Linked DNA regions of Rattus norvegicus. The protein of the gene in region 1 purifies or fractionates together with the protein of each later gene. This does not show direct contact. Links are inferred from orthologs where the notes say so. Each region holds a gene or a part of one and is shown on either strand. Other genes may lie near its edges. The genes, in order: Cltc, Ap2m1, Clta, Myo6 and Ptpn23.

Evidence for each region.
Region 2: the proteins of Cltc (region 1) and Ap2m1 purify together in Homo sapiens (affinity purification with mass spectrometry; 3 studies listed by BioGRID and IntAct, with this or other methods). This does not show direct contact. The link is inferred for Rattus norvegicus from reciprocal best matches to the Homo sapiens genes CLTC and AP2M1.
Region 3: the proteins of Cltc (region 1) and Clta purify together in Homo sapiens (co-immunoprecipitation; 6 studies listed by BioGRID and IntAct, with this or other methods). This does not show direct contact. The link is inferred for Rattus norvegicus from reciprocal best matches to the Homo sapiens genes CLTC and CLTA.
Region 4: the proteins of Cltc (region 1) and Myo6 purify together in Homo sapiens (affinity purification with western blotting; 4 studies listed by BioGRID and IntAct, with this or other methods). This does not show direct contact. The link is inferred for Rattus norvegicus from reciprocal best matches to the Homo sapiens genes CLTC and MYO6.
Region 5: the proteins of Cltc (region 1) and Ptpn23 purify together in Homo sapiens (affinity purification with mass spectrometry; 3 studies listed by BioGRID and IntAct, with this or other methods). This does not show direct contact. The link is inferred for Rattus norvegicus from reciprocal best matches to the Homo sapiens genes CLTC and PTPN23.

Annotation. Positions count from the first base shown.
Region 1 is NC_086028.1:72,066,782-72,073,102, reverse strand, and holds the start of Cltc (clathrin heavy chain 1), read left to right. Parts: upstream 1-2,411; 5' UTR 2,412-2,509; coding exon 2,510-2,551; intron 2,552-6,321. UniProt on the Homo sapiens protein: Clathrin is the major protein of the polyhedral coat of coated pits and vesicles. Two different adapter protein complexes link the clathrin lattice either to the plasma membrane or to the trans-Golgi network.
Region 2 is NC_086029.1:93,865,054-93,871,321, reverse strand, and holds the start of Ap2m1 (AP-2 complex subunit mu), read left to right. Parts: upstream 1-2,841; 5' UTR 2,842-2,869; intron 2,870-5,124; 5' UTR 5,125-5,167; coding exon 5,168-5,241; intron 5,242-6,268.
Region 3 is NC_086023.1:63,046,526-63,052,046, forward strand, and holds part of Clta (clathrin light chain A), read left to right. Parts: intron 1-643; coding exon 644-681; intron 682-1,669; coding exon 1,670-1,787; intron 1,788-5,521. UniProt on the Homo sapiens protein: Clathrin is the major protein of the polyhedral coat of coated pits and vesicles.
Region 4 is NC_086026.1:90,088,812-90,094,332, reverse strand, and holds part of Myo6 (myosin VI), read right to left. Parts: intron 4,999-5,521; coding exon 4,868-4,998; intron 4,789-4,867; coding exon 4,711-4,788; intron 3,020-4,710; coding exon 2,890-3,019; intron 1-2,889. UniProt on the Homo sapiens protein: Myosins are actin-based motor molecules with ATPase activity. Unconventional myosins serve in intracellular movements. Myosin 6 is a reverse-direction motor protein that moves towards the minus-end of actin filaments.
Region 5 is NC_086026.1:119,237,501-119,242,503, reverse strand, and holds the end of Ptpn23 (tyrosine-protein phosphatase non-receptor type 23), read left to right. Parts: coding exon 1-1,658; intron 1,659-1,751; coding exon 1,752-1,936; intron 1,937-2,039; coding exon 2,040-2,144; intron 2,145-2,223; coding exon 2,224-2,362; intron 2,363-2,449; coding exon 2,450-2,563; intron 2,564-2,639; coding exon 2,640-3,119; 3' UTR 3,120-3,291; downstream 3,292-5,003. Other genes in the region: Scap (sterol regulatory element-binding protein cleavage-activating protein), read right to left, coding at 3,580-3,825, 3,903-4,109, 4,219-4,299, 4,461-4,627, 4,726-4,808. UniProt on the Homo sapiens protein: Plays a role in sorting of endocytic ubiquitinated cargos into multivesicular bodies (MVBs) via its interaction with the ESCRT-I complex (endosomal sorting complex required for transport I), and possibly also other ESCRT complexes.

The DNA.
Region 1 (6,321 bases):
GGTTTCTAAACCAGGGAACTATCCTTTCCCCTGTCTCTGTACTGTTGGAAATTTAGATAGTATGGTCTCATAATAAACATCTTTTATTACAACAAATTACTGATCTTTAAGGGGCATGCCAGTTTGGAGGCTGTTTTAGTTTGGGGGAACAAGGTCCTGCTATGTGGTGGGGCTCTCTTGAATTCTAGATCTTCCTGTCTCAGAAGCCTCTAGTGTAAGGATTACACGTGAGCACCACAATGCATTGGGTAGCATTATCATTTAGACCATTTTTCGCTTGGAAAAAAAAAAGTGCTTTAACTGTTTATGGTGCCTTTGCTGAGTGAAATCTGCTTAGTCTTTTTAGTTGCTTTTAGTGTTTTTCTCCAATACTGTCTTTCATACTTAGGCTGAGAAGAGAATCTGGCAGGCAAGACAACAGTCCTATTAATAAGCAAAATGATTTGGGTTATCACCATCTACTTTTCTTCTTAATGATTTCTGGAAACAACTCATTCTTGAAATTTCTATGTGTGATGACAAAGCAGTCTCAGTGCACTTTTTGGTTAGGTATTCCACACCAAGGAAGTAAAATCAACTGCTCTGGGGATTTGAAATGTCCTTACAACTGCAGAGTGTGTACGAAAGTATAAGGCACTTGTCAATAAATTAAACTGTGGTGATCTGCTCTTACACCCCAAATTCTAAGATTGAAAATGCCATTTGATTAAGCTACTGACATTTCTGCAGTAAAACAATATCTCCCTTTGAATTTAGAATTTGTCCACTTCTAAAAAAAGACTTAAAGTCTTTAGACTCATATTAAAACTATCGTTTCAAACGTTGCAGGAGAGAGCATTCAAATGTTTAAGTGAAATTATACAAACACAAAGCATCCTAAATATGGTGGCAAGGCTCTTCTTCACAACGGGGGGCTGACTGCCTTCTCACTTGCCTGTTTCTCTCAGCCCAGGTATGAAAGGCAGTATTTGGAGAAACACTAAAAGCAACTAAAATGACTAAGCAGATTTCTGTAAGCAAAACCGCTTACACAAAATTATTGTATACCCAGTGGTGTCTTATGTTCTTTAGGTGAAAGGGGCATTGAAAATAACTTTCTCAAGAACTTTCAGGGGAATTAAGATGAAATATGAGGAATTGAATTCTCTAAATCATCCTTATTGGTGCTATTGTGAAACATTACACCTTACACTTTAGCAAGAGCTCTGGAGCGGCTATGAATCGCTAATGAATGCTGCAGATACCTTAGTGCTGTAGTCAGGCAAGGTGCTCCGGTTTTGAAGAGCTTACACTGCCCACTTTGCTACTACAGGCAATGATCCTACTAACGTGTATGACCAACAGTCAATCCCTCCGCTCCAAGAAAGCCCTCGAGGTTTCTTTCACCATCCATCCTTTGATCTAAACCTTTAAAGATTTTCAGGTTGCCGAACACTCCCAACTCTCAAAGGCCAAACTAATCTCTACATTAGGCTGGTGTAAGTCCACCAAAATGTCCGCGGAAGCTCTCTCCAGGGCCAGCAGGAGACACTTCTCACATGGCCTTCACTGTCCTTTGAGATGGTTTATCTGAGGCACTCGAGAGCCATCCGGCTCTCCTGGCGTCAGAAGGGCGTGCGTCAGGGCAGGGAGGCTTGCAGCTCAGCACGATCCCCCCTCCCTGAGGTGTCAGCAACCACCCACTGCGTGAAACCGGGCGGGGGAGGCGCGCCGCAGTCAGCCGCCCAAAGAGCGCTGCGGCGGGGCCGTTTTCCCTTAGTCACCGCGGCGCCGACGCCGCGGCCTTCTCCTCAGGCACTCGGTGTCCTCACGCCCCGGTCGCCACGCCGGCAGGGGGCTCAACGGCCACCTCAACCCCAGGAGCAGCGGCCAGTCCCTAACTCTCGCCCTCCACTCTGGCAGCCGTCAACCGACCCTTCCCTACCCGCATCACGTGCACCTGGAAGTGCGTGGGTGGGTCCTACAGCGCCTACGGAAATGACGTAGTTCGCCCCGAGTCGCATGATGTGGCAAAATGTTAAAAAAAAAAAAAAGGTGGGGGGGAGGGGAGGAGGGAGAAACCGGAGCCTGGGGAAAGTGATGAGTCTAGAAAAAGTAGTCCCTCGGTTCCTCTGTTTCCCCGCTGCCGCATCAGCGAAGAGCGATCCGCGCACTGCGTCCCTGAATTCCTACGCCTGTCCGCTGCACGGGGTTCGTGGAAGGCTACATAAGGCGGACAGGGTGAGGAGGCTGGGCGGAGTTCTGCCCCGGGATCCTTCCGCAGGGCTCAGCCGTTTCCGGAGTCTGCGCTGCTCCCGGTTCCGCCATTGCGGCTCTCCCGGCCCTTGGAGCCTCCGCCCCCGACCCAAGCTCTCTCGTCTGCCTGCCAGTTCCCTACGTCCCCGGAGAGTATTCCTCTGAGCCCAACCTCCCCCTCCCTTCCCCTTCTCCTCCTCTCCCTTGGAGAGCCCGGGCAGGCACTGCCCTGCAGCCCCAGTGACAGGAGGAGACCATACTCCCCGACAGCGCCATGGCCCAGATTCTGCCAATTCGCTTTCAGGAGCATCTCCAGGTGCGTGTTAGTCGGGGCTGCTGAGGGACTTTTCGAGGGTATTGGGAAGGAAGCTAGCGGCCCGGCCCGAAGGGGATCGAGAGAACGGGAGTGGGGGGGTGTCGGTATTTGGCATTGATGGAGGAAGGACACTGTCTTAAAAGCTTAAAGGGTTAAACGATATGAGACTAGGATGGAAATGACGAATCGGAGTGCAAAGGGCGGCGAGGCCAGGCCTTACGTCTGACGGCCTCTTATTTCTGCTTCCTGGATTGCAAGAACTGCGCATACCAGACCCCCCTTCCCATTTTACTCAGTTCATTCATTTGGGTAGGGGCTAGGTGGGGGAGCTTCTCGCGCGTTTCTCCCAGAGCAAGAATTCTCGTTAACTCCGGGCGATGCAGGGCTGTCACCTTCCCTTGGTCTATTCCGATTTCCACATCGAGTCTGCACCCAGGAATTGTGTGGCGGGTGGGTTGGGGAGGAGCTGCATCTTCGCTCTGCAGCTCACAGCTGAGAAAGGCACCTTGGGGTTAGGGTAGCAGTGGCTTGTGTCTTGCCTTCCCTGAATCTGTAAAGAACCGAAGGTCACACTCACTGAAGGAACAGAAAGAAGATAGAGGGGCGGCTAGGGGCGGTGTCAGTCTCAGGGTGCCTGGGGTCAAGGTCCCAAGGGGAACGCGCATATTTTTCCTTTCTTGGTTTCTTCAAGGGTTAGTGTAGTTCTAAGACTCACTTTGATTCTTGTAGGTAGGGAGAGTTATTTAGAGGTTATTTATGGTCTTTTGGAATCTAGCAGGTAGTTGTGGGATTAAGGCAGGAGTATGTCTCACAGGACTGTGTGGAATTCAACAGAGCCTGGAGTGCTGTAAATGCATACCTGCTCTGAGACAGTACCTGACAAGTTGATCTATAACTGGCTTCTTTTTAATAGGCTGGGGTGCCCCCCTCCCCCCACTGCACCTTATCCTGGAGTCAATACACCATTGTCTAACCTGGCACCATGCCAGCAGTTGGCCTAGGCAGGTGACCATTGGAGGGCTTCGCTGAATTAAGCTTCTTCTGAACTGCTGCTTTTCCTGGTTCTCTTGTCCTGACTCTTTAACATCATAATTTATTCATAATAATTTACTTCCCCCCAAATATCCCCATAAAGAAATCTGCTTTCAGCTTCATCTTTTGAAGGGCTAATTTCATGAGGGAAGGTGTAACGATCCAGTTCAAATATTGGTAACTTATTGAGTGCTTTATCATTGAAGGCAATCTGATTTACTGTTCTCCGTTGATACACGTAAAAGATGTTTGATAATAAACAGGGTTAACTAAAATTCAGCTACAAGTAAAATAATTAAATATTTCTTTATAGACTTTTACCGTGTTGCTTACATTAAAAAATTATTTTACTTTAGGACTTTAAATGTAAATGATAATAGACCTTTGCCCATAAAATGAGCTAAATACACTTTCTTCAGTCATCACTAGTTTTCAAATAATTCACCTGATTTTGGCAATAAGATCTCTATTTTGCAAAAGTCTGAAAAATGTCAAGTGACAATCCTGACAGAGAAGTTAATTTTGTCCTCAATTCAAGCTTGTTTGAGTTTCCTCTGTTAAGAAAATAAAGAGTTAGGAAGGCACTGTTCTGGATGCTAGCGGACAGTGTGCTGACCTCTTCAAGCTGAGCTAAGAGGGAGGCAGCCTGTGTACATTAACGAAAAAAAAAAAACTAGCTTTAATTAATTGCTTGCTTTAATTAATTTGGCCATGAATTGGATTGCTGTTTTCTCTCCTCCCATCTTTGGAATTAACCCTTGTCCACACTGAAGTTTATCAGAAATAGCCTTCTGCAAATATGTATATAAACCATATTCAAGAGAAGCAAAGACAGCTGCTGATCACATGATCATTGTTGATTTGAGTAATAGTGTTTCATTTCTGTTAAACACGAGACCAGAATTGTTGAATGGTCTACAGACTGGAATCCAAACTTGTCACTAATTAAAAACAAATTTAATGCAGGTGTGGCATGTGAGTAACAATTTCTGCAAATACTTGAAACTGTTTTCCTAAATTTGGAGATTTTGAATATTTATAAAATAGCTTTACAAGTGTTCTTGAAGATCTCTGTCTGTTCTTTGGAGGACCATGTTACACTTTAAGCTTTGGCTGGTAGGATTCCACTCCAGTAGATGGTGATCAGTTTCGTCAAAAGGGCAAATCACCATCTTTTCCAAGATAATGTATTCTCCTGATCTCAGATTTTTCCCCCCTCGGAGCTGGGGACCGAACCCAGGGCCTTGCGCTTGCTAGGCAAGTGCTCTACCACTGAGCTAAATCTCCAACCCCCTGATCTCAGATTTTTATCCCTCTCTTAACACTTCAGTGTAAGGAGTGTTTCAGTTGTCATCTTAAGTCTTTGATTTCCAAGCCTCTGCCATTCTGCTTAGAAAACAACTTTTAAAACGCTTAGGAGAAGAACTGGAAAATGAGGAACTAGAGAGTGTAGAGTTCACTTGTGAAAGTTAACAGCAAACTCTACATTTTTTTTAAGCTTTTTATGAGAGTGTTGCAAATAAAAAATTGCTATTTATTTTCATATCCCTTTGTACGTGTTTAGATAAAGATCTGTCATCAAGGCTTGGAACTACATCACATAATTTTAATATTTTATGTGATGAAGGAATTTTTGTTGAGTTACAGATTCTGAACAAATTCTAGGCTGCAGAACACAGTAAGTTCAATGCTAGCCAGCAAAACCCTGTCTCAAAGGACAAAACAACAAAATCCCACCGCCTGCAATTTTCAATTCCTTGAATATTAAGCATTTTGCTATTGGCACATTTTGTTGAACACTTGGATACTTCTAATTTTTATTTGTAAATCTCTCCACCCTATTCTTCTCGCTTTGATCCATAAGTGAAGGCATGCAATATAATGTTGAATAGTAGGATTCTTGCCAGGGTTGGTTTTTGAAGAGAAAGCAGTGTTTTCCTGGGACATAATGTATGCTTAGGTAGACGGGAAGAGTGCACACCTGGAAATAGACGCTGATCTACCGTGGAAATAGTTTCGAACTGGAGACAGCTTTCTTTTCAGAATTTTCTTAAAGGTTAGTTTACTCAACTTTAAGGAGTTCTAGGTGTTTTCCATCAACCCAGAAACTCCAGTTAATGCTATTAACTTGAAGGGATGGCCAAAAGCTTGGATTTGAATGTGTTACTGCAGAGTACATCTGTCAAATGTAGGCTCTGAGTTTCTTTTCTATTATGGGAAGTATTTTTTTTTTCTGCTCTGAAAGAAATAATTGTCAAAACTTAATTGCCCTCCAAATCAAACTCTATTGACTGTTACAGCCACTTAAATAATACCTTTATGTACTAAAAACCTGTTAAATGTTTTCTGTTCATCCCTCTAGGTAGTTTAACTTAGCATCCTTTTAGAAAGGAGAAAGCTGAAGTTACTGCAGTTAACTTATGGAACCACACAGATAGTGATTAGATTTTAATATTTATATTTTCAGCTTGGCAAGGCACGTTCTTCAGTGAATAATTACATAGTTTTAGCTGCAAAATTTATTACAATCAGGTCAGTGAGATGCTTCAGCTGCTAAAGGCACTTTGCTATGCAAAGGCACTTGAACTCCTGCACTAAATGAATGCGGAGCTGTCCTTTGACCTCCACATATGTAGCATGGCATGCATATACATGCACACACACATTGTGCACACATACAATAAATAAAATTAAAAATATTTATCACTATTGCTTGTTCTATACTCAGGTGTTCTTTA
Region 2 (6,268 bases), on another chromosome or scaffold:
TCCCTCAGGGCTTCCCAAGGATGTCCAGCCCCCACAGGACCCACACTTCAAGGTCACTAGGCTTTTGGGAAGGGCCTCAGCTTCCCCCATGCATAACTGACTACTCTTTTCAGAGAGAAGTAGAGAAGTTCGCTCCCCTCCACCTCATACACATAGATATACATACACATGTGAGTCTCTCCCCCCAACCCCTGGTCTCTGTCTCTCTGTCTCTGTCTCTGTCTCTCTCTCACGCCTATGCAAGTTTACAGAAGCCTCAGGGCTGGTCCCTGGCCAGAGGGCTGGACCCTTTTTCCAAGTCATCTCCTAGATAGTAGGGCTGGTCCCTGACGTCCTCTTCCCTTCAGCTAGCCCTTAAGCTTCCCTTACATGTTCCCAACATCTTTGTACTTAGATAAAAGTCCAAAAGCTGGGGCTCACCAGAGGGCTCTCCGGTAACTGACAGATCATTCTCTACTTCCCTTCTGCCCCACATCTCTGGGTACCTGCTCTGTTTCATCTTCCCCATGAACCCTGGGGACACAGGCCAGTTGAAGCTATACGAGCAGACAACTGGGGCTTCCAGACCGTTCCAGTTAACTGTTTTCTACCTTAAATCATAATTTCCTCCTTAAAACACCGCTATAAACTCTGACTTATCCAGACTCTTTAAATTTTCAGTCAAGGGTGTCAGCTGAGGAAATAGCTGTGTAGTGCTTGCCTAGCATGCCCCAGCAAATGTCTCCCCCATCAAGATGTCCTTAGCCCAGGTTTGGGGGCAACCTGAGGTAGGGATATTTTGACATTCATTTAACATATTTCCAGGGACTTTAATGAACAAAGGGCTATGTTAGAAGCATGACTTGATCTTCGCTGTCTTCAGTTCTCTCTGACTCTGCCTTTTCCTGTTCTCTTGAGAATCCCTCACCAGTGCTCCCATTATCCTGCCTTTGGCTCATGTCCCTTTCTTCCCCCCTTTCCCCCATAGTGTCAGCCACTCTCTTCTTAAGCTGTTGATGTGCTGGCCACTTCTAAATCTGGATCTCCCACCCCAGCTTCCCCTCTCTTTAGATCTGTTTTTATTCCCCACTGGACATCTCCCCAGGCTTGTCCATATGTCCCCAGCCAAGTATTATTCCTCTCGAATTCCTGCCCTTGTGACCTTCATTACAAGCCACACCTACACGGGCTTAGTCAGCATCTCACACCCTTATACTCAGACACTCTGAAGTTCAGCTGTTCCTCTCCCTTCCTTACATTACAGAGCATGGGATTTGGAGTCAGGTTGGTTTGGGCTTGATTTCCAGCTCTATCATTTTTGATTGTGTAATAGAGTTATTTAACCTCTCTGGAGCCTCAGTCCTCCCATATGTAAAATGATGATAATAATACCTACCTCACAGGGTTGTTGTGAGGATTTAAATTAGATATTGTACGAAAAGTGCCTAGCACAGTGCCTGGCACATAATAGAGTAGGTGCTCAATAAATGGTAGCTATTATTATTACTATTTCTATTTCTATGTTGTTGTTGTTGTTATCACTAATTTACTCTAAACTTTTAGGGTATGTTGGGAAGAGAAAGCTTTTGTGAAGATAGACATGAAGCCTTCAAAGGTTACAAGTTTCTGGGTTTTGGCTTCTGGAAGGAGGTTGCTAGGAATAGTAGGGTTAGCAACCAGATTTGAACACCCACCCCTTCCTTTCTGCCATAGAAGTCTCTGGCCTGTTTAGGCAACAGATGTCTCTGTCCACTGAGAGAAAAACCAACTTTTCTAGATTTGGCAAAAATCAGACAGCCGTTTGTGTTCGGGTTGGTTCTGCCTCATTCTCAGTTTGGATATCATAAGAAATCTTTTTTTTTTTTTTTTAAGGTTGAGACAGGGTTTCTCTGTATATCCCTGGCTGTCCTAGAACTCGATCTATAGACCAGGCTGGCCTTGAATTCAGAGATCTGCCTGCCTCTGCCTCTGCCTCTGCCTCCTGAGTGCTGAGATTAAAAGCATGTGCCACCACTGCCCAGATGAGAAATGGGATTTTAAAATCCCATGCCCAACTAAACTGGAGTGGTGGACAAACAGGCTCCCTTTTGTAGCCTGGGATGTCTTGAAACTCCCTATTTAGACCAGGCTGGCCTCAAATTCACAGAGATGCTCTTGCCTCTGCCTTCAGAGCTCTGGAATTAACGGCATATGTCACCAGCACACCACAGTCACAGATTTTGCTGAGAAAAACACTAATGTTTTACCAAGAATTAGTGCTTTCCTTCCCAGCCTTTCTGTTTGGATAATTATCCCTGAGAAAGGGCTCAGTCCTATCCTGGAATATATATAAAACCTCGGGAGAATCAAATGTGTTAAAAAGCAATAAATTCAGCAGTAACGGGCTTATGCAAGTTGTGTTTGTAAAGTGAATATAGCCACTCTTCGAAATCTGGAGACAATAAAAATCTAATAATTCAAAATTTACAATTGGTTTCAACAAACAGCTTTGGTCTCTTAAAGCCTACCTCCTCTAACTAGGAACGAGAAGGATTACAGAGACTACACTTCCCGTGATTCTCAGTGAAGCAAATAGTCTGTGGAGCGTACCATGACCCGTGTTGCCAGCAAGACGCACTGAGGCCGACGTCGACTCTGTCTCGAAGGCTGTCGGTAGTTGTAGTTTTGCTAGACTTAGGGCACTCGGATGTGTCAGCTTGAAAGCTTCGGAGACTGACGGGACTTGTAGTCGCCGCTGGAGGTGAGCGCGCAGGCGCAGCTGCGGGCGGGGCGGGGCGGGGCGGGAGCACTGCAGTGAAAGCGGAGGCAGCAGACAGGCGAGCTGGGGGCGGGCGGACATCTTGGGATCCGAGAGTGGCCAGGCCTGCCTTGTGGGGGCTGCTGACTCCAGGTGAGCTGGGAAGCTTGACTTAGAGATCCTTACCGGGCGGCGAGGGTGCCGTGGTCACCTGCCCTGCCCCGCACTGTGCTGGGTGGAAAACTGCCCGCACCCGGGAGTGGCCTCAGCCTCCAGACCCGGGAGGGAGCAGACGACCGGGCGGGGGTGCCTTGGGCGCGATTGCAGCAAGGGCGGGGAACGACGCCCTCCAGTAACCCGCTGGGCGTCTCCGGGAGGAGACTCGGGCCGGAATCCTAGAGCCGGGGACCCCGCGCGGCGCCCCATCCCTAGAATCCTGACAACCGCTCAACCCCGAGGTTTCCCATTCTCCCATCCCCCAGGACATTGACATCCCCTGGTGCCACTCCCTTGGACAGTGACAGGTCTCTCTGGAACACTGAGAGATTCCTTCCTCCTGGTTTACCCCCCACTGCTCTTCTACCTCAGACCTATGACAGCCCCCGCATCCCTTGGTGACATCTCCTCGGCCTAGATGTCTCCCCCCTCTGCTGAGAAAAACTCCACCAACCCCTCATGCTTCACTAAAAGAAGAGTAGGCCCTATCTCTCAGCTTTCTCTTTTTCTACTGTCTATCTTTTCGCCTTGTTTTGCTCCTCCAAAGCTCCTATGACCTTTGTCATAGGAGAACTTGAGGGACTCCCACAGCTGTATTTGCTGCTGTGGGGTCATCCTGGTCTATTGCTAGCAATTACAGCTAATCGGTCCCTTAACTAAATATTCCATTTCTGTCCAGGACACAACACACACACACACACACACACACACACACACACACACACACACACACCACAACCACAGCCACCTCCACCTCCACCACCACTCCCACCCTCGGCTGATACCTGTGGACTTGGTCCTTTGCTCAGGGGACAACCTCCATTTTGCATTTTCTTTCTCACCTTCTTTGAACTGTGAGACAAGTGTGTCCACTACCTTAGTTGACTTGTGACTGGGTTTCAAGGGTTAACTTTTCAGTTTCAGAAAGTCTTGTTAGACTAACATCAGTGAAATTAATACCAGGGTTAATCCAGAAAAATCTAGAACCAGATTAACCTATTTTCTTAAATATTCTAAATTAATTTTGACCCAAATGAATTTGGGCAGTTGAGACATTCTGTTACCTTGCCCATTGCTTAGTAAACACCAGGCCAGAAGTGACTGACTTGGCAGCTCTGGAGTCACAATTTAGCAGGATTAATGCTACATACAGACCTAATTTTTGTCACATTTTGAAATTTTGATAAGACAGTGACCAGAAATAATTGTAAAGGGGGCTCAAAAAGAAAGAAAGAAAGAAAGAAAGAAAGAAAGAAAGAAAGAAAGAAAGAAAGAAAAGAAAGGAAAGAGGGACTTGGCATTTCAGAGTCCTTACTGTTCTTCCAGAAGACCTGAGTTCAGGTCTCAGCCCATGTCGTTTGGTTCAGTACTGCCTGTAACTCAGGCTTGTGGGATGGAGGGCAGGGCTCCACCTGACGTCTAGACTTCCACACACACAGCACACACATTGGCATACCTATGTGAAGGTAAAAATGAAATCTTTCTAAGAAGAACTTGGGAGCATTGGAGCGTGGTTTGTTCGCCCTGGGCCTCTCTGTTCCTTTGCCTGCTTATCTCACTGCCTGGGGAAGACGAGCCTGCTTCAGCCACATTCCTGGGTTTGTGTTAGAGCCTAAGGGCCTCTTCTCCCACCCCCACCTCACTCTGCACACCCTTTCCTGGAATGTGTAGCCTTGTAGACGGTCATGCTCTGCTGCCTTCTTGGAAGAATAGTGCTTGCTCTAAAAGTTATGCCTGGTGGCGGGCACAAGCTAACTCCTACCGCCTAATCCCTACCGCCATTCCTGCATCCGCGGGCAAGCTTTTCTCTGACTCACTGAAGTTGCGGGGAGTGAGAGTCTGCACAGCAGGGGTTTGAAAAGAATCTTAGCTGAGCTCAGCATTGTGAAGACGACGGGGAGGGGTGCGAGTGGGGGTGGGGGGGTGGTTACTTTCAAGCTCAGCCCTCAGAAAAGACTGAGTAAAATGGCCTTAACCCTGGGCCCCACACTTAAAGTACTGTCTCCTATCCAGTGTGGAATAAACAGGAACTGGAGCCTCGCTGTGCGTGCAGGCGGGGCTTCCTTGGGAGGGCTGCAGGGTCACTTGCTAGAGGACTGAGTCAGGAAAAAAGGCAGCCCTGTACAGCCCCGCTGAGATGGGCAAGGGATCTAAAGATTTCCCCATTCCCTATCCCCACCTTTCCTACCTAGGTCTGTTCTCAGAGCAATGGGTCACAGAGACTGAGCTGCCGCCATGATCGGAGGCTTATTCATCTATAATCACAAGGGGGAGGTGCTTATCTCCCGAGTCTACAGAGATGACATCGGGTAAGTCCCCTGCCTGAGCACGCTGTGCCCCAGCCCCCCCATCGCCTCAGCCTGAGCATGCAATATAGCCTGGTTCCATTGGGCATCGGCCCAGCTGCTAGGCTCAGGGCCTGGGGATGACACCTCCACCCCCTAGGGTTAGGAACTCCTGCCCTTCCTGCTCCCTGTAGGTCTGGTCTGGTGGCTGAAGATGAGTGCTTTTGCCTGGTCAGGTTGATTCTTCCTTTCAGGAGGGAGCACTATCTCCTGTGGGTGTGGTTAGTGTGTGCTCGGTGGTACTAATCCATCTAAATCTTGCTTTCAAATCCTTCTCATACTGAGAGCCTTCCCTAGATCCCCTTAAAACCCCTCTCTAGTCTGTTGACTCAGCTGTTTTCTGTTCTTCTGGACCCTCCCTGGTTGTGAACAGGCTGCGCTCTGTGGGTCATGCTGCCTTTGTAGTTCATCCGGGTGGACCTGGGTAGCGCCTAAGACCTCAGGTCTTACAAAGAGTCACTGCAGCCTCACTTCTCTCTCTGCTTCACGCTCTGGCCTCCTCCACTGTATAACCTGAGGTTAGGCTCCTCTGGTTCTTCCTACCTTGGTTATCCCCCCCCCCCAAAAAAAAAACCCTTGAGATAAATAGAGACTTCTGATAGCTCTCCTACCTTCTTGCCTCCCTGGCTGATGGGCTAGCTTGGTGTGGCTGTATCCATATATATATATATTTTTTTTTTTTTTTTATTTTATTTTTTTTTTTTTTTTTGGTGGTAAAGCTGACCTAGATTTTGTGGCAGTGCCTAGCCTAAGTAAACCTGGCTGGTCCATCCCTTCCTGCTCCTCCCACCCTGGATGGTCCTGGTTTATGCCACCGCTGGGCCACATGACACCCCGCATGCCTTAGTGTGCTCTCTACCTGTTGCCTGTCTTGTCCGCCTCTCCCTCATGCTCTGTGCTGCCCACCGTGGTGTGTTGTGTGTCGTCTAACCCTCTCTCTCCTTGCTGTCACTCTCCTCTCGCTGACGTCATTTCTCTCATCCCATCTCAT
Region 3 (5,521 bases), on another chromosome or scaffold:
CTCACAACCCTTGATCTCCTACGTCAGCTTCTGAATGCTGGCACTATAGGCGTGTATGAACATGCGTAGTTCATATCCACACCCCAACCCCTGTGTGTGTGTGTGTGTGTGTGTGTGTGTGTGTGTGTGTAGGTCGGAGGAAAGCTTGCAGGAATCCTGTCCTGCTGTTTGGGTCACGGGGATGGGACTCAGGGTGTCGGGCAGCTTTTTTTTTTTTTTTTTAAAGTGCAAATGAGTGTTTTGCCTGCATATGTGTTTCTGCACCACTAGGGTGCCTGGAACCCATGGAGGCAGGAGAGCACTGGAGCTCTTGGAACTGGAGTTACAGGTGGTTTTAAGCTGCCCTGTGGGTGCTGGGAATCAAACCTGGGTCCTCAGAGGGCCTCCAGTGCTCTTTACCCCTGAGCCATCCTTCCAGCTACCTTCTCCACTGAAGTATTTTGCCTTTTGATCCCATGGCCTCACTGAGGCATGGGGGCTAGGAAGCTGTCTTGTCACTGAGCTCTGTTCCAGCCCTGCCATCACTTCTTAAAGGCTACTTAGTAGCGCATAGCTGCTACAGTAGCAATATTATATTTTGCTGTATAGTCCTTAGTCCTTCCCTCCAGCCCCGATTGACAGGCTGGAATCTTATGTCTTGCAGATGCGGTTGATGGAGTGATGAATGGCGAATACTACCAGGTACGAAGTGCTCTTAACTATATTAAGTGATGTCTTAAGTGTGATTTGAACTGACTAACCTAAAAGAGACCCCAGTGCTGGTTCACTGCCTACCAGAGTGGACAGTGGAAGTGGTAGAAAGAGCTTTTTTAAAAAAACGAAAATTGAGATACTGGTCGTCATCCTCAATTCAAGCACTGTGTGCCTTATGCCATACCCAGCACTATAGAGGTCACTAGTGACAGTGTAGTCCTGGCTGTCCTGGAATTCACTGGACTGGGCTGGGTTCCCTCACAGTTTCACTTGCTCCTCAGCTGGAATCCACCACTAAGCCCGGCAGTCACAAGAACTTTAAGTAATTCCCCTTTTCTCTTTGTTAGAGTCTAATAAGGCTAAGCGGGTAATGATCCCCAGGTGGCCACATAGTATAATTCTCCAGTCAGTTCGCAACTATGGGTTTCCGTCAACCTGTTATTAGCTCTCAGGTCTTTACCCACCACAGAGAAGCCTCCCTGCCCTCTGACTCATAGTCACCCCCATTTTTTGATCCTTCCCTGATTTGACTACAGTTGCTATACTTTTGAATTCTTTCCTAAAGTTTACCGTCTGGCTAGATGTTATTCAGTGACTGTTCCCCTGTGTGGTAAAATGGCTTCTGAAGTCTTAGGCTCTAGGCTTGGCTTTGCTCTGTGCTTATTAGCTTTGAAGGCAGCACATAATCTCCGAATATGTCCCTTACCCATCCAGCCTCAACTCTCCTGTCACCCACTTGTGTCCCGCTTTTCAACAGATAGCAACTAGTCTGCCTCCCTCCTGAGAGCGCAAGGACCCAGCTCAGTAATGTTGCGATGCAGGAGGCTCTCTGGTGGCTTGTAGGGTTCTCTTACTGCTTTAAGTAGTCCTTTAACAGTTACAAGCCCGCCTTCTATGTGACCTGACGTTCTACTCTTGTGAAAAACATTTCAGAAAGACTTGGGGGCACTGATGGATATAATTGTTTTGTGTTAAGGAGAGCAATGGTCCAACAGACAGTTACGCAGCCATTTCAGAAGTGGATCGGTTGCAGTCAGAGCCTGAAAGTATCCGTAAGTGGAGAGAAGAGCAGACAGAGCGCCTGGAAGCCCTCGGTAAGGAATTCCGCTTTGCTTTCAGGTGTCTGCTTACAGTAGAGTAGTTGACGAGAACTGTACTCTGATCCCCTTTAAGCTTGCATCGGCCATAGTGTCTCTGTTCAGTGTTGAGGAAGTTGTATTTCTCAGCCTAAAGGTCACAGGCCACTGGCAAGGATAGGCTTCATCAGCGGCTACTGCATGAAGAACTCGGGAGTGTAGGGAGGCGTCTTCTCCAGGAAGTGAAAGGCTCAGTTCAAGATTGCACCTTGCTGACTGGGTGCCTGGTTCCCGTCTTTCACTGTCATCATCTGAGGGAGTCAGTGATGCTGACTACAGCTGAGTGCTGTTGACAAGCATATGGGAACTTGAGGTACTGCTCATGTGAGCGACACTGACGGTTCACTTCTCATTTGAAAGATGGATCTACTGTTAGGAAATGTGTCCGTACCTTCCCATGCTGTGACAACATAGTGGACAGAATCAACTGAAGGAAGAAGGTTCAATTTGGCTCACAGTTTCAGACATAGCTGCTGGCTCTATTGCTTTCAGGTCTGGGAATAGAGAGACTTCCAGGCAGAACAGACAAAGGGCATCTGTTCGCCTCATAGCAGATAGGAAGCAGGGAAGTAAGGATGTCATACAGTTCAGAGGGACTCTCCACAGCCACCACTTCACCCAGCCTTTACCTCCCCTGTTACCACATCTCCCAGTGGTCCATTCAGTCATGGATCAGCCCATGGATTAGGTCGAGTCTCTTACAGTGCAGTCACTTCCAACAGATAGCACCATGAGCCTTTTTTTTAAAGTCCATAATTGAATTTGTGTGTGTGAATGTTGTAGCAGTGTCTTAGGGTTTCACTGCTGTGAACAGACACCATGACCAAGGCAACTCTTATAAGGAATTTAGTTGGGTCTGGCTTACAGGTTCAGAGGTTCAGTCCATTATCATCAAGGCGGGAGCATGGCAGTGTCCAGGCAGGCCTGGTGCAGGAGGAGCTGAGTTCTACATCTTCACCCAAAGGAAGCCAGGAACAGACTCAACATCCTAGGAGAAGCTAGGAGGAGGGTCTCCAAGCCCAGCCCCACAGTGACACACTTCCTCCAACAAGGCCACACCTTCTAATAGTGCAGCTCCCTGGGCCAAGCACATTCAAACCGTCACAAGCAGCATGTCTGTCTGTGTAGTGTGTCTGGTACCTGCAGAGGTCAGAAGAGGTTGTTGGATCCCCTGCACCTGGAGTTACAGATGGTTGTGACCCATAATGTGGATGCTGGTCTTCTGCAAATCAACAAGTGCTCTAAATTCCAGAATCTTCTCTCAGGCTGTCTACATGAGTCTTTTTAGGGGATCCTATCATTTCCAAATCATAACATGGACTTTTTTTCTTTACCTTATTATCCCTGTAAGGTAAGGGATCTTTTTGCATTTTAAAAAAGTATTTATTTTTTATGTGCATTGGTGGTTGTGACTGCATGTATGTCTCTGTGAGGGTGTTGGATGCCCTGGAACAGGAGTTTCAGATGATTGTAAGCCACCATGCGGGTGTTGGGAATTGAACCCAGGACCTCTGGAAGAGCAGCCAGTGCTCTTCCCTGCTGAGCCATCCCTCCGCCCCCCCCCCTTTTCATTTTTATGAATAAAGGTATTGAGGATCATAAGTAGATTACATTTGAAGCACACAGCTAAGGAGTGTGGTAAAAACAAGTTTGGGTTTGTCTGCTCTGCTGAGGCTCCACATTTACCCCACGAGCCACGTGGCTTTCTACGTGCATTTTGTGTACAGGGCCATCTAACTGGGCAGGCCAAGCCCTACCGTGGCATCAGCTTCTTGTTTCTCTGGCTGTCCTGGAACTTGATACTTCGATCAGACTGGCCTCAAATTTACAGAGAACCATCTGCCTCTGCTTTCCAGGTGCTGGGACTAAAGGTATATGATATCATGCCTAGCCCTAACAAAAATAATTATAATGATTGTTAGAATACATAGAAAGAATATAGTCCAATCAAAACACTTAAAAATTGTAAACATGTCAAGGTTCTATTTTGAGACCCAGGATTGGACTCAGGCCATCAGGCTTCTACCCCAGAACCATCTTGCCAGCCACAAAAGGGGTGTGATTGGGAAGTGATTCCAGTTTGCAGTTAGGTCAGGTAGTAGATTTTTATTTCCTTGAAGCTCACGTGGCCTCCTCAACTTCTGGAGTCTGATGGCAGAGTAGTTTATCCTCTGCCCTGTGTGTGCCATGGGCAGGACTGTCGGCAGTTCTCTGCCGGTATGTCAGAGGCTTTCGGGGGAGCTCATAGTATACAGTCTTGTGTGAGTGCCAGGCAACTTCCGGTGAGTTAAACAACAAAGAAGAGAGTCTGTAATAGCAGGACGCCTGGAGATGGCTCTAGACACAGCCTGGCCCAGGAGGTTAGTACGTGTCTGGCAAAGGGCAGATGCCCAGGAATACTCTGCTTCTTCAGGCCTTCCTTACTTGATGCCACCCTGCTTTCACTCTCCTTCTCCAAGGTGCTAATTACAGGTTGGGCTCTTACTCTGTGCTTGGAGACCTCTCTGGATTACTTGATGGTTATATAATCATGTGATTATTTCCAGGTTTGTGTACTGAAGTGAGTCAAGTGTGAGCTTGAGAGCAGACTGGGTCTTTGCTCGCCCCTTATCCATGGCAAGCTTACTCAGCTTTTTGAGGGCTTTTTCCTCCCTTACTGCTGAAAAGGAACCTAAAATTTATCTTCTTGGGAGTATTGTAAAGATTGAGGTCCATGAGAGGATGTCCCCAAGACCATGTTTAACTGTTAGCAATTCACATGTGCTGCTAGCAGTGATCATGCTTCCCTGCCTTTGTGACAGGTGGTCTTCAACCAACATCGTGCAAAACTACATTTAATCTAAAACTTGACTTTGGTGGCTAAGAGTATTGACTGCTCTTGCAGAGGACCCCAATTCAGTTCATAGCAACCACATGGTGGCTCACAACTGTCCGTACCTCTATCTCATGGGTTTTCATATCTCTGGCCTGCATATGTGCTGGATTGTGTGTGAGCACACACACCAAAAAAGAGCTTGCAAAGGAGAAAATGTTTGCGAATCCAGGGTAGCAAACCTGCAGATATGAATTCTCTCTGAACTTACTACTGTCTTAAGCCTTTTGGTGATTGTTAACCGGTGACCCTGTGTCCTTGGCCCCTGCAGCTCCCTCCATCCCGGTTTTCTTTCACTTAGCTCTGTTACAAACTGACTGTCATCCAAACTGGAGTAGGTATTCTGTGGTCCTGTGTCCTACCATTCTCTGATTTGTGAGCCATTTCTACCTCTGCTAATTTTACTGTTAGTTTCCTGCCTCGCCAAGTGTTTCTGCCATATTTATAATTAGAGTAACTTTGTTCGGGGTGTGGACTGTGTACATTTCTAGAAGAGTTAGAAGAATCTGTTCCGTTAGTTGGGAGAGTACTTGCCCAGCATGCACAGAGTCCTGAAGTCAGTCCCTAACACAATACAAAACTGGGCAGAGTCACACATTTCTGTAAATTAGCATTCAGAGGGGGAAGCAGGAGGTAGAAGTTCACAGTTTTCACCAGTATCATAGGTTAAGGGTCATCCTGGGCTACATGAAACATTGGCTCAGAAAAAGAAAAAGTTGTTATTTATGCCCGTGCACCATATGTGTGAGGTGCCTGTAGAGGCCAGAATGAGGGTGTAGGGTCCCCTGGAACTGGAGTGAACGATGGTTGTCAGCTACCA
Region 4 (5,521 bases), on another chromosome or scaffold:
GTATAAGGGTAAAATAATATGATAGAAAAAGTGGTTTAAATAGGGCATTAATTAAAAGCCATTCATTTCCATAAAGCAATTCTCATAAGATCGTGATGAATATGTTATTCCAGCTATCAGAATTGGGAAATCTAACATTTCTTTAACTTCTTAAAAGTAAAAATGATTGATGTGGCTATCTTTGCATTTCAGATGTATTCTGCAATATGCAACACTGCTCTTACCAAGCCGTCCTGGCCCCATTTCTACTAAATGTTCCAGTGGCCCTCAACCTTCCAATGCTGCCACCCTTTACTACAGCTTCTCATGTTGTGGTGACCTGAGACCGCATAATTATTTTTGTTGCTACCTCATAACTGTAATTTTGCTAGTCCTGAATTGCAATGTAAATATCTGTTAGGCAACCCCTGTGAAAGGGTCATTCCACCCCCCAGGTTGAGAGCCACTATATTAAATGCTATGTCTTTTTTAAAAATTAGCCTGCCAAATGAATTTATGAAACACAGTTTACTTCCTTCTGTAAATTCACAGTGAATATTACGGGAGCCGTCTCTAAGAGTCCTACAGTAAAGGGATTTTTCAACTTCAGGTAGCCTAGAATGTCCTGGTATGATTGGACCTTAGTTGCTGTTTTATCATTTTGTTTTTTCAGAGCTTCCCAATTAACATTCTGCAGAGAAACTGTTTGGTAAATGAGCATGGTGTGTTGTTCCAACACAGTCTACAAGTGGGAGGTGTGGCACAAATAGAATATTAACATATACTTTCCTCTAACATGCACTATATATAGAATATTAACATATCTTTCCTCTAACATGCACTATATATATAAAGTCGAAAGCACCAACCCATGAAAAACTGTGGACAGCTTTTGGGGCAGCTTCTAGAATCTTAGCAGGAATTTGACATTGGGCCAGGACAGGGAAGTAGACTCAGGCAGGAATCTGACTTTGGGCTAGGACAGGGAAGTGGGCTCAAGATGAGTACAGCGGAGGAACGTGTTCTTTGTATCTTGGTGGGTCCTTTAAGACCCTGAATACAGTAATCATGGGACCTTCTGTGCTTTGTTCCTTACCTACCCTCTCTATGCTTTGTTTGTTCCTTAACTACTTTATGAGTTAGCACTGACCCTATTCTTTGCATGTACCTAGAATGATATAAAAGCAGACAAGAAAAAAAAACATGCCTGCTTTAGTCTAGGAACCAGCTGGGATCATGCTACACTGTTGTCTAATTGTCTTTTTCTTTTTAATTCTCACTCCCTCTCTGAAGAACTCATTGACTGACTAGACTGGCTTGGTCAAAAACCACTTATATTTTACTTGGAAAATGATGCGGGATGAGGCTCTCTTGTCTTTTTTATCATAGTATTTTTATAAATATGCACTATTGCCTAACAAAAGATCTCAATAATAATGTGCCTAGTTCCTTTGTGCCAGACCCGGTTTACTCTTCTGTTAGTAAAGATTTACCTTCTGAATCCTCCCTCATGCACAAAGCTATTTCAGGTGGTCTGAATGAGCTGATTTCCACACAGCTCCCAACCATTAAGCTTTCACCACAGACCTTCAAGTTATCCAAAATATTTTGCACTCACTCATGTTCTAGACCAGATATAATCAGCTGCTACAATGTGGCAGAAATACATTCAAACTCAGCTCACTCCAGTGTACTGGAGCCCAGAGTCCATGAGGCGGGGAGCAGGAGAGGCTGCAAAGACAAGCTGAAGCCCCACCACGGTCTAGAAAGACAGTCTGAGAGTTCAAACTCTGCCAGCCATTGAAGGAAAACTAGAAAAGCCTTTGCTTTAGAAAATATAAGCAGGGCGGGAAGCTGGCAAATGACTTTGGAAACTAATACAGTTATAATGTAAGTGACAAAAGAGGCCCCACTAAGGTACTGCCAATGAGAATAAAGGTTTATACTCTCAGAAGGTGAAATCCACATCATCCCATAACTATTGAGACTTGAAAAGAGAGACAAAAATCCAACCGGGTGCAGCTTGCTTAGCATGTGGAAGACCCAGAGTTCAATACACAGCACTTCAAATTAAATAGATTGGGGGTGAGAGGAGTCAGAGACAGGAAGAGACACAGAGACAGAACAGATCATCTAAGGTAGATACCATTTTGGCAGAGAGAATTGTTTCAGTTAGAATCTGAGAAAATGGTGAGGTGCGGGGCGTCAAGGAGAGAACGAGAGTTGGAGGAAGAGAATAAATTCTGTTTTCTTAGGACATGGTGGAATTCATAACCCTAGAACATATCTCAGATAGTGAATGTCATGAGATCTTCAGAAAATAAAATGAGTCTATACATGTTGGGTTAGGTATTGAGGGACCATTCCATCAGACACAGCAGGAACCAAAGGTACCCATTAGCACCCAGACAGTCCCATGACATCCCTCAAACCATCTCACTTCCAAAATAACAAATCTTGGTGTGAAATAAAGCATAGTTTGGTGAGAAGGTGTTGTTGTTGTTGTTGGTGGTGGTGGTGTTGTTGTTGTTGGTGTTGTTACTGAGACAGTCTTGATTCAAGGAAGGCCTTGAACTTTTTCTTCTTTATTTTTCTTTAATGTGCATGTATGTATGTATGTATGTATGTATGTATGTATGTATGTATGTATGTATTTTGCCTGCCTGAGCACCTGATACATGCAATGCCTGCAGAAGCCAGAAGAGAGAACTTAATTCCCTAGACCTGAGTTACACACAGGTGTGAGTTGCTGTGTGGGTGCTGGGAATCAAACCCAGGTCCTCTGAAAAAATAACCCATGCTGTTCACCACTGAAGCCATCTCTACAACCCCAAGACATTGAACTCTTGATTCTTCTACCCCAGCACTAGGATTAAAGAATGAGCTACTATGCCAGAGGGAAATACTTACGTTTGATGACTGACAGTGAACACCACTGAACTTTCTTCCAGCGACTACAGACTAGCCACAAATTGACTCTCTTCACCAACTCTGCTAAGTGATCAGGATCAGACTTCATAATCTGATCAAATTCTGCAAACTAAGAGTAAGATAACTTAGCATCAGCATTAAAGGGTAAATGTGCTCAAGTAGAGAGGAAATAACTACATGGATTTCAAATTCCAAATATAACTTCCTGAAAATGATTAAAATTCAACTCCAAGGATATCTTAGCAGGGTATACAGAACACATTTGGCCACTTGTCATGGCCCTTTCCTTCTGCCTTTCCTTCATCGATTTATTGGAAGGTAGGAAGGAATACTTATTTATCCCTAAGTAGCAGCAAAAATAGGTATAAGAAAAACTCTTAAATGACTGATTATGGAAAATTTGGCAGAAATATTTGAGGGAAAATGTTAAATGGGGCCAACACGTCTGAACCAGTTCAACCACATTCTCAGACATCCACATTGCTCAACAAGTAAAGGTCATTGAAAGCAGGGGAGCCACCAAAAGTCCTGTCTCTCCCAACTCTAATTTTAGACAAAAAAAATAGGAAATTACTGCTAGGAGACAGACCACGCAAATACAATACTTTTTCTATTTACCACAAAATTCCAGAATTATTTCCATTCTTCACCAAATATCACACTGCAGTGTTAAAGGTGTCATATGCCAATTAACAAAACAAGTGTTTAATCATAAAAACCGTAAGAGTAGCATAACAAGACTATGAATCTCTGAATCTGCTTGCTTTAAGCTTTCAACAACCTTCTGCATCTTTCTGGAGGAAAATAATCCAGGTTCTTTCTCTATCCATTAATTAGTTACTATAGCTCTGACACAAGAGAGATGTTGAATTTATGATAAATAACACAAAGTAATGTGAAGCCAGCCATGAACACCTATATTTTTTTCTCTTCATTTTTCACAGGAAATGGTACAAGTTCTGTGACAAAGACACCACAGACTAGCAATAAAATTGCATATTTTCATCCTGTGCTAAAAAATGTGAAATTAGATTTATTGTAACTATTTTGTTCTTGAGACACTAGAGAGAGTTGACCAGTGGAACTAGTGAGCTGCAATAACAACTATCTTTACAATTGTAACTATGTAATCAGTAAGTCAGTGTCTCAAGTGTTAGGAATATGGACGTGGTATTCTTAACATTTGTGGACAGCCCTAGGTGTTTGTGTACTGAATACAGTTAGCTCTGACATGCTCTGCAGTCAGTGAGTATCACAACTGCAGTACTATGTCAGCTTAAAAGCAACCTAACGCATGCAGTGTTTACACATTCCCTTACTGTGAAACTTGTCAATAGTCAGTACAAATCCAATCGAGTTTCATATGCTTTATGTATCTATCATACTCCAGTGAAACTTTCTCACAAGGAAAACTCCAACATGCTATGAAACTCACCAAGCGAGCTGGCACATGCTTACAGCATTGAGGAGTCTGGGCCAACTCAGATGGAGAATTCTGTGACAGCTTGGGTTACATGCTGAGCTATCTAACTGGCACATTATTAAAATATTATAGAAATAGTTTCAACTTATTTAAAATGTTAGAAAGTTTTGGTTAGTCCTTATTTAAGAAAAAAATTAACAATCCTCTGATTCCAATACTGAGTAAAACTATAATTTAAACTCATACGAAACAACCCCGAACAGGAAACCTGTGTGAACAGAAACATAATCTCATGCTGTTTCATATAATGCTGTAGTGATATAAATCGCCAATAACTAAGGAAATACATATGAAGCCCAACTGTCATATATATTTACCTTGCCAGGTCTGAAAAATACTTTTGTCAGCCCAAACTTGTAGTCAACTTCATTTAATCCCAAAGCTTTAAAAAGAGCCTGAAAAACAAGTTTTAAAAGTTGAGTTTAACAGAAAAGATTTGTTGGTGAGAAATTTCTATTGAAGTGGCATTTATACCTTACAAAATAGCCGTGGATCCAATCGTGCGAGTTTTTCTGGCATGTACTTCTTGTACATGTTATAGAGTTCATGAAATGAGGCTCTTGAAGGGAAACCCCCTTGCATGAGGTCCAGCACAGACACCATACCTAGAGTCATAAGCACAAATAATTTCCAGTCACAGTATGTAAATTCAGGGTGACATGTGAGTAACCCATCAATTTTACAAGCTAAAGTTTATGAAAAGAGCTTATAGTGAGAGTATATCAGAGTGAGGACGACCCAGGGAATCACACCTCCAGTCAGTGTGTCCAGCTTGTTTACCATGTAAAACAGACACAGGGAAAGCCAATGAAGTCAGCACCACTGAGCATTTCCCAGCGGCAGCCCATCCAGAAGGCTCCAATGTGACGTGTATCTTTCTAAATTCCACAAAAGTCATAAAGCAAATCCTGCCTTTGACCACTTTAAATCCTGAGGTTAATTTTAGAATACAACTTCTGAAAAAGTCTCCATTTCTATATTTTCCCAAGAACTAATAAGAAGCAAAAGAGAATTTATTATTTAAATATTATGTGCAACTTACACATACATACACACACCACATAGACACACATACTACACCACACACACACACATAGATATCCACACCACACATACCACACGCACCAC
Region 5 (5,003 bases), on another chromosome or scaffold:
TTTCTCCTGGCCCCTTCCCTGGTTCCACAGGCCCAGCAACCCACTATCTCTCAGGACCCTTACCACCTGGAACCTACTCAGGCCCCACTCAGCTGATGCAGCCTAGGGCTGCAGTGCCCATGGCCCCTGGACCTGTCCTCTACCCAGCCCCTGTCTATACATCGGAGTTGGGCCTTGTACCCAGATCCTCTCCCCAGCATGGAATTGTAAGCAGTCCCTATGCAGGGGTAGGGCCACCCCAACCAGTCGTAGGTCTTCCCTCTGCTCCACCACCCCAGTTCTCAGGACCTGAGTTAGCCATGGCAGTCCGGCCAGCTACCACCACAGTAGATAGTGTCCAAGCCCCTATCTCTAGCCACATGGCACCACGGCCAGGCCCTGCCCCAGCTCCTCCCCAGCCTTGCTTTCCAGTGCCTCAGCCTGTACCCCAATCTGTTCCCCAGCCGCAGCCTCTGCCCACACCCTATACTTATTCTATAGGGACCAAGCAGCACCTCACAGGCCCTCTACCACAGCATCACTTTCCTCCTGGGATCCCTACCAGTTTTCCAGCCCCCAGGATTGGGCCCCAGCCCCCACCTCAGCTTCAGCCCCAGCCCCAGCCCCAGCCCCAGCCCCAGCCTCCGCCTCAGCCCCAGCCCCAGCCCCAGCCCCAGCCCCAACGGCCAGTATTTGGGCCACAACCCACACAACAGCCCCTTCCATTCCAGCATCCACATCTCTTCCCATCTCAGGCCCCAGGGATTCTCACACCACCACCCCCCTACCCTTTTACTCCTCAGCCTGGTGTTTTGGGACAGCCACCACCCACCCGGCACACCCAGCTCTACCCAGGCCCACCTCCAGACACTCTTCCCCCACACTCAGGGGCTCTGCCTTTCCCGAGCCCTGGGCCTCCTCATCCTCACCCCACCCTGGCATATGGCCCTGCCCCTTCCCCTAGGCCCCTGGGTCCTCAGGCAACCCCTGTCTCCATTCGAGGTCCCCCACCAGCCAATCAGCCTGCCCCTAGTCCCCACTTGGTGCCTTCACCTGCCCCATCGCCAGGGCCTGGCCCAGTACCTTCAAGACCCCCAACAGCAGAGCCACCACCATGTTTGCGCCGAGGTGCTGCAGCTGCAGACCTGCTGTCTTCCAGCCCTGAGAGCCAGCATGGAGGGACTCAGCCTCCTGGGGGCGGGCAGCCCTTGCTGCAGCCTACCAAGGTAGATGCAGCGGAGGGCCGACGGCCACAGGCCCTGCGGCTAATTGAGCAGGACCCCTATGAACATCCTGAGAGGCTGCAGAAGTTGCAGCAGGAGCTGGAGAGCTTTCGGGGCCAGCTGGGGGATGCAGGAGCACTGGATGCTGTCTGGAGAGAGTTGCAGGAGGCCCAGGAACACGATGCCCGAGGCCGATCCATTGCCATTGCCCGCTGCTACTCCCTGAAGAACCGGCACCAGGACGTCATGCCGTATGACAGTAACCGTGTGGTGCTGCGCTCAGGCAAAGACGACTACATCAATGCTAGCTGTGTGGAGGGGCTCTCGCCATACTGTCCACCCTTAGTGGCCACCCAGGCTCCGCTGCCTGGCACAGCTGCAGATTTCTGGCTCATGGTGCATGAACAGAAAGTGTCCGTCATTGTCATGCTGGTGTCTGAGGCTGAGATGGAAAAGGTAAGAGCCTAGATGGGAACCAGGAGGGAATCATGGAGTGGGGAGGCCGGGAGTCCAGGAGAGCTAGCCTGAATTGTCTTGTCTACTCTTCAGCAAAAGGTGGCCCGCTACTTCCCCATTGAGAGGGGCCAGCCCATGGTGCACGGGGCCCTGAGCGTGGCCCTGAGCAGTGTTCGTACTACTGATACCCATGTGGAGCGAGTGCTGAGCCTGCAGTTCCGGGATCAGAGCCTCAAGCGCTCTCTCGTGCACCTACACTTCCCTACTTGGCCTGAGTTGTGCGTTCATGGCTCTGGGTGGTGGGGTCAAGGACAAACTCCTTGGGTGCTTAAGGGTGAAGGCCTCACATCAGGCCGGGTTCATACCTGCTTTTCCCTGCAGAGGCCTGCCAGACAGCCCTGGCAATCTGCTGCGCTTCATCCAGGAGGTGCACGCACATTATTTGCACCAGCGACCCCTGCACACACCTATTGTCGTACACTGCAGGTAGGGAGCCTTCAGCTACCAGCATGAGGCTGTGTCCTGCGGGCTCTTAGCCTGGCCTTATACTCCTTTCTTGTCACAGCTCGGGGGTGGGCCGCACAGGAGCCTTTGCGTTGCTGTATGCCGCCGTGCAGGAGGTAGAGGCTGGGAGTGGGATTCCTGAGCTGCCTCAGCTGGTGAGGCGGATGCGGCAGCAGAGGAAACACATGCTGCAGGAGAAAGTAAGTGGGCGGAGTGGGTGGAGCTGGGTCCCGCTTGCCCTTGCTGAGATGGCTCCGCCCAGCTGATTAGACCAAATGTCTCTCTAGCTGCACCTCAAGTTCTGCCACGAGGCATTGGTGCGACATGTGGAGCAGGTCCTGCAGCGCCACGGCGTGCCGCCTCCTGGCAAGCCTGTGGCCAGCATGAGCGTCAGCCAGAAGGTGAGGGCAGTTTCTTGAGGGCCACTGGGATGGTCACGACCTGGTGACACCCTTCTTACTAGCTCTCCCTTCTCAGAGCCACCTTCCTCAGGATTCCCAGGATCTGGTCCTTGGTGGAGACGTGCCCATCAGCTCCATTCAGGCTACCATTGCCAAGCTCAGCATCCGGCCCCTGGGTGGCCTGGATTCCCCCGCTGCCAGCCTTCCCAGCCTTGTAGAGCCCCCAGGTCTTCCACCAGCTAGCCTTCCAGAGCCCACCCCTGCCCCACCTTCCTCACCTCCCCCCCCCTCTTCCCCTCTGCCTGAACCCCCCCAGCCAGAGGAGGAGCCATCAGTGCCTGAAGCCCCCAGCTTAGGGCCTCCCTCGTCATCCCTGGAGCTGTTGGCCTCTCTGACTCCAGAAGCATTTTCCCTGGACAGCTCTTTGCGGGGAAAGCAGCGGATGAGCAAGCAGAACTTTCTGCAGGCTCACAACGGGCAGGGTCTCAGGGCTGCCCAACCTACGGATGACCCCCTCAGCCTCCTGGATCCACTCTGGACACTTAACAAGACCTGAGAAGGCTTTGCCTGTCTGGTCCTTACACTACACCTCCCATCCCTGCTGCCTTCAGCTGTGCCAGATGGAGATGCACTTCAGGCCTCAGTCAGGCTCTGCTCCTTCCTTTGCGGAACCTGACATTTTTCCAGCCCTGGGCTATTGACATAATAAACTTACTCTGTGGCCAGTGTCCGAGTTCACCTGCTGTTACCTCAGGAGTGCCAAAAACACCTCTCCCTTTGCTGTTCAAATCCCCACATTTCTTGGATAGCTCTGAGAAGGGAGTGGAATGACAGTACCTTTGGACCCTGGTAAATGTGGTTTTTTAAAAAAAAGTTTATTATTACAGTCAGGAGACAACAGTTCTGAGTCAGCTGCAAAGATGCCTACCTATTGCCTCCAGTCTAGGTCCAAAGAGTTGCAATCCCCAGTGCCCCACCTTGGGATGGGGGAAAGGCATAGTGCAGTTGACCTGCCTTCAGTCCAGTTTCTCCAGCACAGAGGGCACATACACTAGGCTGAGCTCACTGCCAAAGTTGCAGACAATGGCAGCATTGTCCAGCACCAAAATCTGCCGGGCAGGCTGGGCTTCACTGTTCTTTCCCAAGTAGACTGTCTGTAACAGGTCCCCATAGTTTAGGTCCCAAAAGGAGACACATCCCTGGCCGCCGGTCACCAGAAGGTTATCAGAGATGACACCCAAGCTTGCACCACAGCCCAGGTCCTGGAGGCAAAGCCAGAAGAGGTCTTGAATGTGAGTGCGAGTCCCAAACACCAACACCCTATGCCCCGCCCGCTCACCTGCTGAATGGAGTACAGCTTGATGCCTGTGCTTCGGTCCCAGATGTTGATGAAGTCATCCAGGCCACTACTGATAACACAGGAAGTGGTACAGGTGAGGGAGGTGACATCTCCACGGTGAGCAAATGTATGGCTGACCCGGCTGCCTGTTAGTACATCCCACAGGCAGATGGCTCCATCTTGTCCTCCACTGGCCAATACCATGGTCTGGGGAAAGAGGCCCAAAGGAACTCAGTCACAGGCCTTTATCAACAGTGTCCCCATCCCGTTACCGTTCCAGGAGGCAAACCTCACAGCCCCACCACAGGTCCCTTACCTGATCAATGTACACAGTTGTGATTGCCCCCGAGTGGCCCTGCAGGGTAAAGAGGCAACACGAATCCTCCAGTCGGAAGACCTAGGACAGGGAGGACAGGTTCTGGTCTCTGGGACTTGCCAAGGTGCTCTGTGCTTTAGCCAGGAAGTGCTTGCTGTCATTCCTCTAGGATTCCTCTAGCTTGGTCCCCCTGCTCCTTACCCCCTCCAGCTCACCAGTACCCAGAGATCAACAATACACACTCTCAGAGTATGGTCTTGGCTCCCTGTCACCAGGCGCCCCGCTGCTGCTCTCAGGGCTGTGATGGGTTTCTGGTGTGCACAGGGGACTGTGTGGGTCAGGTGACAGGCCACAGTGTTGCTGCTGCTGTACACAGGCGAGGAAGGAGAACTGCCTCTCCCTGGGGTCCCTAAGGAGGACAAGCTCAGTGAGTAGGTTCTTAAAAGGCATCCTGCAGACATATTCCCCAACCCATACATATTGCCTGCTGGCCCCAGGCCCACTGACCTCTGAACTGCAGGGGGCTGAGGGAAGTGTGGGTCTCCAAGGAAAAGAAATCGAGGGAACCGTTGAGCCGAGCAGCTACAATCCTAGAAGAGGACATGAAAGACTCTAGCCTCAAGCTATGCACAAAGTGCCTTAAGAAGACGCTAGAGGGGTTGGGGATTTAGCTCAGCGGTAGAGCGCTTGCCCAGTTCCGAAAAAAAAGAAAAGAAAAGAAAAAAAAAAAAAAGACGCTAGAGCTGGAGGGTGCCAGTTACCACTCAGCCTCTTTAAGTCTCTCC